Linked DNA regions of Arabidopsis thaliana. The protein of the gene in region 2 interacts with the protein of the main gene of each other region in a biochemical or structural test. Each region holds a gene or a part of one and is shown on either strand. Other genes may lie near its edges.

Region 1 (5,182 bases), on a different chromosome or scaffold from region 2:
CTCAGGGCTATTGCATCATACCCATCGAGATCAATGAAGCCATCAAACTAGAAAAGCAGAGGATGCTAGAATTAGTTGCAATAGTAAGCTGACTCAAAAAGTCTCTCGTTTACAAAACCAGGACTAAGATATAGTAACCCATTTTCCTTCTTTTCTTCAAACAAAGACTGACATGCAGAAAATATGTTTTGAATAAGAATGGTTAGTAAGATAAATGAAAGCTCTGTGTTGTTCACCTTTTTTGAGCGCATTCCACAGAAACCACTTCGACTGATGTTCCATTTTGATCCTTCGCTAAGGTCTACAGATAGGTTCCCCGAAAAAACTCCTATAAAAGATATTTGGATGAAAAAACATCACTAAGTGGAGCAGTGTAGAAGCACAACGAGTCAACGAGAAATTAAGAAATGATGACATAGAAGAAATCTCATATTGTTTTATTGATGAACTTCATGACAACAAGACATGCTGGAGGGCCGATGATAGATCACAGAAGAAATTACAAAGTTGCTAACCAGTGCAATCTGATCCATCTCCTTTATCTGGGATCTCCAAGGAAGCCGAAGATAATCCTGTCAAATAAGTATCAAACTTCAAACAGGTTGCCACAAGATAAATATTAAAATGCATAGCATATTGTTTACATATCAATGTAAATCTGTGCAATGCCGATCTTCAGAAATCTTATTTTGTCTATAGTTGTTCATATGGATCACCGAGGCATGGAAATGAAAGGGATAATGACAACAGAAACAATATCAGATACTCTTTACGGAGCAGATGCTTAAACCTGTCAGCATAAGTACCTCCATATTCAGAGTCGGAATAGAGATGCCATTTCTTTAAGTCTTCTTTAGAGTGGAACTTAAATATATGCTTCTCTGCAGGTGGCACCCATTCTTCAACGTTCCATGTAAGAGCTAACAGTTTACAGGGTGAAGATAAGTCAGAAACTAGCAAATCTTTGCTGCATTCAAAAGCATAAAGGCTAGTATAGAAATATATATGTGATCCCAAAAGTTTGTAAGCATTGGAACATAGAAGCAACGTTATTGTTTCCTCAAACATCACTTGCAATCAGTCACTGTCTAATAAGTATAAGCACAAGCACAAAATAAAACGAAACATCAACACACAAACCAAAAAAAAAATCAAAAGATCAAAGAATCAAGTACGACACATGATAATTGACGGAAAAGTGGCAGGCGAATACCCTTCTTTGTCGCATTTACTGAGGCTTGCAACAACGATCGAAACCTTGACATGTCTCTGTAGCTGCTTTCCCAGATGAAAACAAAGAAAGCTTGTCTAAGATATATAAAAATGACTGTTAGGAATTAAAGCTCCAATTTTTCAATGGTAAACACTAAATGACACACACACAAAACCTCAATGATCAGAACCAGACTCCAGAAAACGTATAAAAAGTAATGTCTTTGCAAGGTTAGCTATATCAGAAGTTGACGCATCCTAAACAGAAACCATACGCTAGTGACTAAAGACTATTATTACCCTTTGAAGCTTTTCAACAAACACCTTGTCAGCCAAAAATCGATCAAGGTAATCACAAATGCAGCTGGTGAAAAAACAAATTGTCCCCAAATCCTTCAGAAAAACCCGACATATATCACAGACGCTAATAAAAAGGTTGCCATATGAATTCATATTCTGCTCCGAAATGCACAGGAAAGAAAAATCTCAGAACAAGAAGATCTGATAATTAGAACAAGCCAAATGCTAAAGACTAACTAAAACTATTCTAAAGTTTTAGAGTTTCCACTAAACGAAGCAAAGATGATAGGAACTCACTCACTGGATTTGCCGTCACCGTCGCACAATCAGCCTCTGTTTACCGATTAACAGTCAAACTTGAAGACCACCAAGCTGCACGTCACTGTTTCTACGCCACGATGCCGTTTTGCGAGACCAATCTTATTAAATGGGCCTATTTGGCCCAAGTTCTCCAATATATTCCCCAATAGTAAATCCACAAAGTGTCCATTTTTTTATACAGATTCAATTAATACGAATTTTTTTTCAACGTTGAAATACATAATTCTTTGTTTATATTCAGGCAAAGATATCCCATTATCTACATATAGGCTATAGCTTGACATGAGATATTAAGAACTACATAAATAATTATGCTGGTCGAGTTAATGAGCATCCTATATTTTATTATTTTATTAAAAACCACCATTATGATTACGAGCCATACATACTCACATCGTAGTCATGTTTAATTAATTACTCCAAGAAGTTTATACCTAATTTCACTTCACATTACAACTTGGATACACTTATAGACGTAGTTAGTAATTTATACTTAAATATTTGTTTCCGTGACAGCTTGATGCCACTAGAAAGGCAAGTAGGACAACCGTCCGTGCAATTGGGTAGCCCTGCGCATCATCATGTGGCGGCCACTTTTATTCTTTCGAAAATCTCATAACTACGTACTACTGTAGAGTACATGTATATCAAATGGAGCTAATCATAAAAAACAATTTTAGCATATGTTACAATTTATCATCATTTGGGGCAAGATACTACTACCCTCTTTCGACCGACATAATTATAATATTAGTTAAAGATTACTAGTTAACTCTAAAAATTTGCTCGGGAGAAAAACAAAAGCAAAGAAAATGGTCTGTGCATGACCGCATTATTGGATCATGTCGAATCAAATTCCAAAATTAACGAAATAAAAGTATATATGGATATGTATCGCGCCGTCAATAAGTATAGAACTCAGCCAACTCCTCGACGGATCCTCTTTCGCGATCATCCTCATCGCCGTGATCAGAGGAACTGTTTTTGAGCATCCATAACAAGTGCTCGAACAATACGACTTCGCAAGCTACTAAGACGGTCTCTTGGTCGTGACGTTCTTCGATAAATCTAGACGACCGGTCAAGTAGTTCTTGGAAAAGCGGATGAGCGATGACGTGGGAACTAAGCATGTAAGGTCTTCGTGACTTTCCGACGTAAACCACATGGAGATCCTCGCACTTTGAGACCTCAGATACGGCGGTAGAGGCGGTACACATGGTTGAATGGTGGTTCTTGGTCAAGGAAGGCCATTTCTTTATGGCAGACTTGAGCTTTGTCAGTTTACCGAATATAGCCATTAGCGAAAGTCTCTGATTTTTAGCAATAGTAGTAGTTTCTTGAAATTAAGATTATTGTTTTGTGTATGTTTTATCAGGAATTGAGAAACTAACTTTCTTGGTACGTAAGAAGGAAGTATTGGGTTCTTTGTATTTATATTGAGGGACAGGGAGAGAAAGAGAACAGCTAAGAAAGATAAAGGAGGCTACAAAATCTGTAAAACTGGTGTCCCCTTGCTCTAAATTTTATTTAATAATCTATATTATATATTATGTGTAAGTGTGTGTGGATGCATGTTGATATGTGCATACGTGTGTATGTGGGCTGGACAATCTACTCTTGTGTCTTGTTGTGCAATGAATCGGACCAAGCAAGGGTGATCGATGATTTTTAGATAAAGATTACATCATGATTGAGATAAGATCTCCATGATAATTATATTTAGTGTCGCGCTTAAAGTTACGGTTTTGGCCGAAAGAATAGGGTGTATAGTAATTTAGCTTTTTAATTATTACACACAAAATCTTGTAGTTTAGTTATTATATATATGTTTTTTTGAACACAAGCGGTCCATATATTTTAATATGTACGTATTTAAATTTATACTTTCTTGAATAAAAACTAATTCGACAATTGAAGTCATAAAACAAAAGCATCTGTCTTTGATCGAACTGCACATTGTGGGAGATAAGCTAATTGGTAAAAGAAGTATAGAAAACCTTTATAAAGTGATCCAAACTTGTTTTTATCAATAGTTTAGCCTAAGAGAAATCAAACAACAAAATAGTCGTCGATCATCATTAGTTAAATACCTTAGTGATAGTGATTAATGTTGATTAATTAGTAGTAGTAATCTGTGTGATGATTTATATATATATATGTATAAAAAGAATCCAGATATAAACCTGTTTATCGCACGTAAACAATACCCTGCTTATGTGCATTTGACTCTGTGATCGGTTCAATGTACTACACTAAAATATTTCTTCGAAAATATAATACGTTTTAAAAATACTAATATATAAATGTTGACATTGTGATGCTACAATTTTGTAATCAAGAACTCGTTTGGTATATTCTGAACTGTAGACAGAACCCCTGGTTCTCGTAGACAATGTAGTGTATAACATACTAACTCAGTTGATTGAACTTTTATTGTTAATCTAACCTCATCGAATTGAATTCTGAAACATTGAAGAAAAGAGCTGTATATTTTTTTTTATTAATCTCAGAAATATCCGACAGCTTTTGGTTTTGGTGGGCGAACAATTGCCAGCCAACAGCCAACAAAATCAAATTATTTAATGAGAAGAATTAAATAAAAATATTCTGAACAAATAAGTTAGTTGCAAGAGCAAATTAGCCAGTTGGGATGTTCTTGTTCTTCAAGAGTGCGTTACACCTTTTCCTTGGTTTAACCAGCCAATTAAAAAGATTTTGTTTAATGAAAAGAGTTTGAAACATGAAGCATCTAAAAAAATCCTAATCTTGTTACACTTTTTCTTTTGTCCACATTTTTAAGTACTCTATATAGGAAGGTGTGTTGCTGAAGTCAGCCCATTACACGACGTGTCAAGAAAGCCTTAGGTGGTATACTACAGAGGCTCCTGTCGTCTAACATAAAGTGTTTTCGGGTGCAAAAAGATAAATATTTTTGGGGCCAGATTTCTTAGAAATTAGCCGGTCTCGAAACGCAGGCCTCTCTAACCTTTAAAGAAACCTTTTGGCAATAATTCTATCAGGATGCTATGTTTTAGTTTGTTGGTAACTTTTCAACACAATGGATTCAAAGGTCTAATAACACAATTTATTGCCGCGCATGAATTGGCGGTTAATAAATTACGAAAAAAATGGAAAAACAAACAAACCAAACCCTCTATATATACCAAAAACAGAAAAACAGAATCAAACTTTGTGGGTGGTGGTGAAAAAACAAGAATGAAATCTATTTTGCTAAGAATAGAAAGAAAGAAAGAAAAAAAAAAGAAAACAAGAAACGTGGATCTTTACAAAGGTATGAGTCGGATATTTACAAGATGTAACTGTTATTCTGTGCTTTTCCTGTTATTAC
Region 2 (8,840 bases):
CTCTAGCTCACGACTGGAAAGAAACCATAGACGGTATACTTTCTTGGCTTGCTCCTTTAGCTCACAACATGATCCGGTGGCAGAGCGAACGCAACTTCGAGCAGCAGAATCAGATTGTGAAGCGAACTAACGTTCTTCTACTTCAGACTCTTTACTTTGCTGATAGAGAGAAGACAGAAGCTGCGATTTGTAAGCTTCTTGTCGGGTTAAACTACATTTGCCATTACGAACAACAACAAAACGCGTTGTTGGATTGCGCGAGTAGCTTTGATTATGAAGATTGTTTTGAGTGGCAGAGCCAATGCCGTGCAGCTTACTTGGACTAACAATTGGTTTTTTTTTCTTTCTTTCTTCTTCTTAGTGTTGTTCTATAGATACATTTGTTTATGATTCAACACATTGTGAATACTAAATATCTAGTTTTGTTTGCATACATAAAAAATGATTGTGAAAATTGAAGTTCTGTTGTAGATAACTCCAAATCTTAGTTAGACAATGTTAAGTGTGTATTGAAGAATATGAGTTTTTTTAAGTGTGTATTGAAGAATATGAGCTTTAACAATGATAACTCCAATCTTAGTTAGACAATGTTAGAGATGGTAACTCATAGTTAGGCAAAGTTAAGTGTGTGTATTGAAGAATATGAGCTTTTTTGAAAGACATATATTAAAGCCAACCCAACAAGAGAGAGAGATGTTAGGTGATGAATGCATTTAATCAGAGAGAGATTGAGTAGGGCAAAAAGTGCATTGATGTTTTTTGAACCAAGCTTGACATTTTTGTGGTTGAGATTTTCTTTTTTTGTGTGTCAACGATGAGAATTTCATTTATTGTTGCTATTGATTGTTGTGTGTAAGAATGAAAAAGAAAGTTAATATATTGGGTCAAGGCTTTTGGGGTTTGGGCCTAACCTTATATTGACTAAGAACTAGATCAACCTTTGGCCCAAAGTTCTCTTTATATCAAATCAGTCGTTGGTAAAGGTCTCTGCATAGTCTTTGTATCTAGACTAAGCTCCAGAATTTCTAGCTAGATCTTCCTATGTGTTTTGCTGAATATATAAATACATCAAATTGCTGAACTATTAATTCAAGAAAGTTTTGGTTTTATTAACTTTATAACTCGTATTCATATTCCTATTTCTCTAGTGGAAATTAACTTAGAAAATTAGGAAAATTGAACAAGGGCCTCCTAGTAAACTAGAAGACAACAGTAGTTGATATACTTCAATTCCTTTGACTAACATATAATGTTAAGACAAAGCTAATTTATCTTTTGTGAATGACGTGATCACAAGCAAACAAGAAGTTTGGATCGAATTGACTATATTTTGGATAATATGAGTAGAATTCTCTATCTACGTTTGTGTTCTTGTTTTTTTTTTTCTTTCTTCTAGACCTAAAAAAGAGATATGAATTTCTTTCTGTTTTAGCCAAAAATAGAGGGAAAGCAAAACTTCTATGTTATGTGTTCACATATTATACTTTTTTTTTTCTTGGGTATAAACAAAAAGGAGGTATGATTAAGATTAACACATGCATCGGTCCCTTTTGTATATTGTTCGACTTTGGAATGAATAATACATCGAACATCTTCTATTTATGAGTTGATGGTGATAAGGTATTTCAAGACTTTGCAAATCATTTTGTCAGCTATATTGACTAGGAACGACCCCTTTGGTCTTGATCTTGTGGCTCAAGCCATTATCATTTCGGCTTCATAATAGCAATTATTTTTGATCAACTTAAATAAGCCTATATATTTTCTGAATAATTGTTTTTCGAAATTAGTTACTTATGAAAAATAACTAACAATAATAACTTCCTAGTACCACAAATTTCCTAAGATTCTTAATTTATACACAAAAGAAAATTTTAGACGCGATTTAGACTAGCACATCAGTTATTTACATAATTTTACTTATGATGTAATGTAACAAATCAATCTTTTTTCTTCTTCTTTATTTCTCTAAACTGTTTTACTCGCAATAACTGTAGGCAGCCGGGGGAAATATTTGGATTCTTGAAAGTGTAAAGTGAAGAGTGGTTATCTATTTGGACATGATTGTTTTCACTGTAGTTATCAAATAATTAGTACTTTAACTAATAATTAAGACTAATCTGTCAAAGATTGTCGGGTTCGAAGAAACAAATGTATAAGCACAAGTGGGTTTGAATATATAATTGCAAGTTACGTAAACCCATCTCTTCCCTAGATTCACTTTCTGCAAATCCAATCCATTTCTACTTTATTTTATGCAGTTCTTTTAGTTTAATAGGCTCGAGGAATGTGCAGTTTTGTTTAATGTAATCTTCTCTAGTCCAGGGGGCATGAATCTAACAAATAATTACTATATTTTGATTTTTACTGGTAACAACTAATAAAGTCACACATTTTTTTCAATGATTCTTTTGTTTGAAAAGTTTATTACAAAAGTGGCAGACGACATTATCTACAACTTTTCATGTTCCAGGATAATTTAAGAGAGCTCTAATACCTACTAGAGAATTAACTTGATGTAGAGTAGTAACGAAGAAAATTTATCTTCAAAACTCTATAATGCCATATTCAGTTTCGTAAGTTCGTAACATAAAGAAAACAAAAAACTACGAAACTGACTCCTTCTTGACCCTACGAAATACTAAGATTCAATGCAATTTCGTGGGGTTCAAAATGAGAAAAAGAACAAAAAAAAACAGGATGTACAAATCATAGAGATATGGGTGGTATATATAATAACAATTTCGAAATTTCATTTTGATATATTTGACATAAATCTATGGTGTAAAAATTTTGAATGTAGAAGAGAAGTTGAGATAACAACTTAGAGAAGTTGGTCAGCTTGCAACAATACTCTTCGGAGCTCACTCTCCATAGCTCTTAACACCACTGGCTTTCTCACAACTCCATTGATTCCAATCTGTGCACACTTGTCCCACATTTCTTCATCCAAGCTCACTGTCGTCGCCACAATCAACGGCCAAGATCGACTCCTGATCCTCATGGCCACTTCATAACCGTCCATCTCTGCCATTTGAAGATCAAGCACCACCACTTGAAACGAAGTAGAAGGCGAGGACGAGCCGGGAGCAATGGCGGTAAGGCAATCGAATCCAGAGGAAACCGCGGTTACATCGCACCCGAGTTTCTCTAAGAGTTTACGTGTAACTGCCCGGTTCGAATCGTTGGTGTCTACCAATAAAACTTGTAAGCCACGTAACAGAGAATTCGAATGTGGGTGAGCGTGGTGGTCAGGAGCTGGCGACTCGCTGGATCCATGGACAGATATGGAGGGTCTACGTCGAAACCGAAGGAGCAACGACATGGTCTCCGGTGAACCATCCGAGCCAGGGACCACCGAGATATTCCCATGAATCAACTGCACACATTATCAAAGAACTCCTAAACAGAAACTCAGACTAATGACAGGAACTTTAGAAAGAGATATGTAAGGAAACTCACCTGCACCACTTTCTTACAAACACCAAAGCTTAGATCTTGTCCTAACCCATAGCCGCCGGAGAATCTAACATCACCAACTTCTTGATCTCTGGAGGAAACAGAAGCAAATGATTGAGAACTTGAATCATCATTCTCTACATTCATTTCAAATCTTATATACACATCTCCATCTGCTGAAGAAGCCGGTGATCTCCAAGCAGCCCATCTATGATCACTCCTATCCAAGCTTCCTCTTTCTTTCAAAACCTTAAACATCAATGAAGATCCTTCTTGACGTTTTCTAGGCTTTACTAAACTACCAACTATATGAAGTATCACTTGAAAGACCCTTCTTTCATCACCTACTACATTATCAGGTAGAGACTTCTCCGCGTCAACCAAGAACCTAATTCCATTGCATAGACACAAACATCTCGCCATACAAGCTGCTTCATGGATCGTACGATGCAGACTAAATGGTTTCATCTCCGTACCAAATCTACCGTCAGGCACATCCATAGAGTCCCCCACCAAATTCGACATAACATTCCCTGTTTTAACCATCGTATCAACAATCATTTTCTGCTCGTCACTCAACTTCTCGTCCTGAATCATCGACAAAAGACCGAGTATCGAATGCATAGGACGCCTCATCCCTTCGCTCATCGTTTTCTGAAACGCATTCCTCGCTTGGCTCGCTCTCAACGCGTCTCTCTTCGCCATCTGCAACGCCCTGTTCTGTTCCGCCAGCTTCTCCCTCATAAGCTGAGACTCTTCAAGAACCGCTGCATGATCTAACGCAACGGTTACTTGATCCGCCACAACTTTAACAATCTCAATCTCCTGATAAGTCCAATCCCGAGGCGTCCCGCCCGGTAAAACACAAACAAGTATCGCATAACTTAGCTCTCCATTAAAATCCGAAACACGAAGCATCGGCATTCTAATAGCAGCCACGGCACCAATCTCACTAACATCCCCACCACCACCACTAGCTCGAGCAATGGACGAGTCAACACTCAACACATTCACTTCATCACTCTCCCTAATCCTAACAACATCCAAATCCTCCATAGAAACAGAACAACCACCATAACCACCTCTCCCTCTCAACTCATGAGTCAAATCCATCTCCGTTCCACCGTCATTCGGCATCCAAACCGCACAATTCTGCAACCCTAAAGTCTTCGAAAGCTCAACCAAAGTAGTATAAAGAATCGTATGACGATCCAAAGACTTACGAATCTCTTGAGTAAGCATACGAACATGAAAGCCAGTCTCTTTCTTAATCAAAATCAAACCAACTTCACGACCAAGCTCATGAGCTTTCTTCTTAAGCATAAACTCTCTAACTTTAACTTTCAAAAGCAGAGGAATCAAAGTAATAAGCGTAATCGCAGTAGCACAAGAGACTAAAGCAGTCAACATCTTGAAAACAGTAAACGCCATCATTAATCTAAATGGATGAGCAGAGTAAGTCCAACCATGAAGAAGATGAGTCATACCACAAAGAACAATGAAGGCGATAAACTCAAAGAGAACCCATTTGAATGGAACATTGGAACAACTCACGAAGTAAAGTAACTCAATAGGGATTGAGAAATAAGCTACTGCGATTAAGAAATCGCTTACTCTTTGAGTTTCTAGAATGTTCTCTGTACTCCAGAAACTGTTTCCTTCGTCTTCGCAGTTACATCGTGGATAACCACCGCCGTTTATAGCTAAAACCGGAGAAACAAACACCACCATTGATAGTATCAATAACCAAGAAGCTATTTCTTTAACCATCTTCGGAGAAAAAAAATGCTTAGTCCATTATACTCTGCAATTAGAAAAACAAGAAACAGAGTGAGAAATAAAAATCAAAACTTTAATTTGGGTAATAGTAGAAAGAACAGAGAAAGAAAAATTTGGAATACCTGAAAGAGATGAGTTTGGATCAAAATGAAACAGTTCTCAGATCTCTCATCGACCTGTGAAATTCCAACGAAGTGATGTACGAGAATCTTCTAATTCTCTTCGACATTCCGATCTTCCTCTCATAGAAGAACAACGATGACGAGAATAAAAATACACAAAGAGAAAGACAGAGACAGAACAAAAAAAGCTGGTGATGACAAAACCAGAAGACTTAAAAGTGAAGAGATAGAGACAAATCTGAAACTACTTTGAAGTTATATAAAAAAACGTGAAGTACGTTTATTTATATATGCCGGAGATGATTAGTGCCGGAAAACCGCCATAAGCCGCCGATGGAGGATAAAAAGAGAAGTGTATGTATAGGGTGTAAGTAAAGGTAGGAGCCGTTGGTTTTAGAGGAAGGTTTTGAGATTTTTTCTTCTTCTTTATTCTCTGATTTAGAAACTTAAAGAGGTCCCACTTGTTCTTACATGAACCGAACTTAGACGGTCTTTTGAATTTTTTCTGAGTTGTGTTTTTTTTCTTACACTTAATAATTTTTTGGTCACTAATGTATTAATAAATCATTTAATATTGAAAACATTTGTTATTTCCTCAACTTGTACGTTTTATAAATTTAACTTATTACAAGCTGTAACATAGAATAATTAATGGGTACTCTGAATTTTATCAAAATCCCGTATATCATGAGACTGAAGAATAGAATAAAGCTTGTTTATTTGTATATGAATGAGTAAAATATTGGTATAATTGTTGGAAACTATCAAGCCACATGACATGAATCTAGGAACCTAAAAATTATTTTAATAAATGTGTTTTATTCCAAGAAAGTATAAAATTAAGACCAAGGAGGCAAATAGATCATATATTTCTTAAATTAGCTTTGTTTATAAACAAAAGAGCACAAAATCTAACGTAATCACTGTGTTTTGAACTGACACAAGTAGTCGGATATTTGATGAGATTAGTCTAATACTCTAATTAGATATTTTAATTAGTCAAATATTTACAAAAAGAAGATATGTATAACGCCTTAAGATGTTGATTAATATGAGGGACCTACAAAACTGTGATCTTTGATTTTATTATAATGTTTCCTTCACCATACATGAATCTAAAGAGTAATGAGTATATATTTGAAACCACATTGCTATTACTTTCCTAACTTTTAATTGTATGGTTTTGACTCTAGAAGAAACCATGTTAGACCACAGAATGTCAGAATCGCATGTGTTCTTTTATATTGAAGCTCTAATTAGTATCTACCAATCATCTTTGAAAAACATCATTGTTTAAAGCCTTTGTACATATTTATTTTATTTATTGATAGTACTATCTAAAGAAATTGAACCTAGAAGTTTTTAGACGACACGTTACCTAAGTTTTTTTTGTTGGTGTTTTTAGTGGTCACTGTAACAACAGAGAGTTTTAGCATCACTACCTATAACCATAATCTTGATGCTTCAAACGGAGTCATACAATTACAGAACAAAAAAAAATACATTGAAACTCTTGAGCATATTTTGTGAAGCTAGTTCGGATAATTTTGAATTTCCACAAGTAACAAAGTTTCTTGTTGTTTTTGTAATAAATCCCATCTTTATCTATAGAATGAGTACAAAGTCTCAAGAGACATTTAACTTTTTGCAACGATCTAGAAGAAAACACTTTAAAAGGCTCTCATGCGTTCTTCTTGCTTAACAATTAGTCACCGACTGTCAAATGCAAATGTTCTCCTAGAACCACAGTCATAACAGGGTGCTTTTCAATGCATGAGCACAATGAGAAGGAAACCCATATATCAAATATACAACTTATATATGACCATTAATCGCTTCGGTTACATTTATTTACCTCACGGGCAACACCTTCGTTTTTCAAAGATTCATCTTCTCGTAGATCAAGAATTACCATAACATCATATCTGAACCATGAACGAATGCAAATATTATATGTTTCCTCAACAATAGAGCATAGAGAAGTGGTATTTTTAATTAAGATATGTACTATCTACAGCTGCATCAATCTCTGTATCTTTCAAACCATCTGGACGTTTGAAATCTCTGACAATCTAAACAACACATGAACAAAATGTGTCATGAACATGGGTTCTTGAAGATACTGTAAACTTAAACAAGAAAGAAAATAAACTTAATGTTAAAGGTGGTGATATAAGGAAGATGTTGTCAAATCTAACCTTCTTAATTATCTCGTTCTCAAGACAAACACGATAGTCATCTGCACCAAAGACAGGAGCACAATGGACAATACCAGTACCACTATCATTCATGACATAATCATCTGCTACTAGTCGAAAAGTCACACTTGAGAAATCGCTAAAAGTAATCAAACAAAGGTTCATACTTCTTCCCAACCAAGGAATCTCCATTAAAATTTTCCAAAACTTGATAAGAATCCTCTTCACTGTCAAGCTTAATTAGCACCTTTCGCATTATGGTATCACTAGTAAGTTCCATTAGTTAAGCCGGCCTTAGGCTTATCACTAGGAAGCGATGACAACCGAGATTCAGCAACAATGTAGACTTTTCCAGTGTTGTTGACGAACCTTAAGATAGACAAACTTTGCATTGACACACAAAGCAAGATTACTTGGAAGAATCCATGGAGTAGTAGTCCATGCCACAAGAGCCGTATTATCTTGGATCTCCGATAACAGGGAATGTAACCATTACTAAATATGCAACACAATATGCAACAATAAATATGCAAAAAAAATATATATATTTAACACAAAAAAAAAAAAAAAAATGCAACAACAGAATGTTATAATCTTCATTAGCAACAAGGCCAACAACAACATACCTTATAGTTCTGACCAGCTTCAAAATTAGATAGTGGTGTTTTACAACCAGTACTATAAGGCATAACCTTGAAGCATCTATAGACAAGATTCTTATAAAAAAATCAGCCTACTACACCCAATTAAAATCTTTAATTTGAGTTATATATTTTAACACCGTCATTTCAATTTTTCCATGATTTTTAAGCCCAGCAAATCATAATCTGGCTCTTGAAATTTACGAACCCAAAAATCAAACCTCCAAATGATATTGGGCCTTTTAACTGGTCATACTTTGATCGCTACTTCTACTTCTAAACTTCAACTTTCAGTTCATAAAACCCAGATTTGACTTTCATTTACTCTCCTTTATTTTTTATGCATGTAATATACTATCACATTTTTATAATCATAATTTGTTTTACAACATCAAGGCTATGATTGATTCATATGAGCTCACATGGGTCTGCAAAAATGTAGTTTCTAAATTTGGAAGGCTTTTCAAATGGTGTAAATTATAAACTTCACCAACCTATTATTAAAACGCATATAATGTTTATCCCATTGCAGTTCGAATTCATTCATAATATAAGTTTAAACTTACTTTATAATGTAAATTCATACAAACCCACTTGAAATGTAAATTCATGTAAAATATTATACAAGAGAATGATAGATA

What was found. The genes of interacting proteins can lie anywhere in the genome.
Region 1: the proteins of ETR2 (region 2) and AT1G17345 form a complex in vitro, tested with the Arabidopsis thaliana proteins (one study listed by BioGRID).

Annotation. Positions count from the first base shown.
Region 1 is NC_003070.9:5,938,474-5,943,655, reverse strand, and holds AT1G17345 (SAUR-like auxin-responsive protein family), read right to left. Parts: upstream 3,365-5,182; 5' UTR 3,132-3,364; coding exon 2,736-3,131; 3' UTR 2,131-2,735; downstream 1-2,130. Other genes in the region: AT1G17350 (NADH:ubiquinone oxidoreductase intermediate-associated protein 30), read right to left, coding at 1-47, 237-328, 516-572, 807-920, 1,214-1,265. UniProt on the Arabidopsis thaliana protein: May be involved in the regulation of ethylene receptor signaling. Promotes cell expansion and plant growth.
Region 2 is NC_003074.8:8,251,545-8,260,384, reverse strand, and holds ETR2 (Signal transduction histidine kinase, hybrid-type, ethylene sensor), read right to left. Parts: upstream 5,827-8,840; 5' UTR 5,361-5,826; intron 5,264-5,360; 5' UTR 5,230-5,263; coding exon 3,463-5,229; coding exon of another isoform or gene 3,415-3,462; exon of another isoform or gene 3,380-3,414; coding exon 2,825-3,379; 3' UTR 2,497-2,824; downstream 1-2,496. Other genes in the region: AT3G23160 (plant/protein (DUF668)), read left to right, coding at 1-326; AT3G23145 (ATP binding / aminoacyl-tRNA ligase/ nucleotide binding protein), read right to left, coding at 7,189-7,253, 7,369-7,432, 7,559-7,744, 7,928-8,026, 8,185-8,247. UniProt on the Arabidopsis thaliana protein: Ethylene receptor related to bacterial two-component regulators. Acts as a redundant negative regulator of ethylene signaling.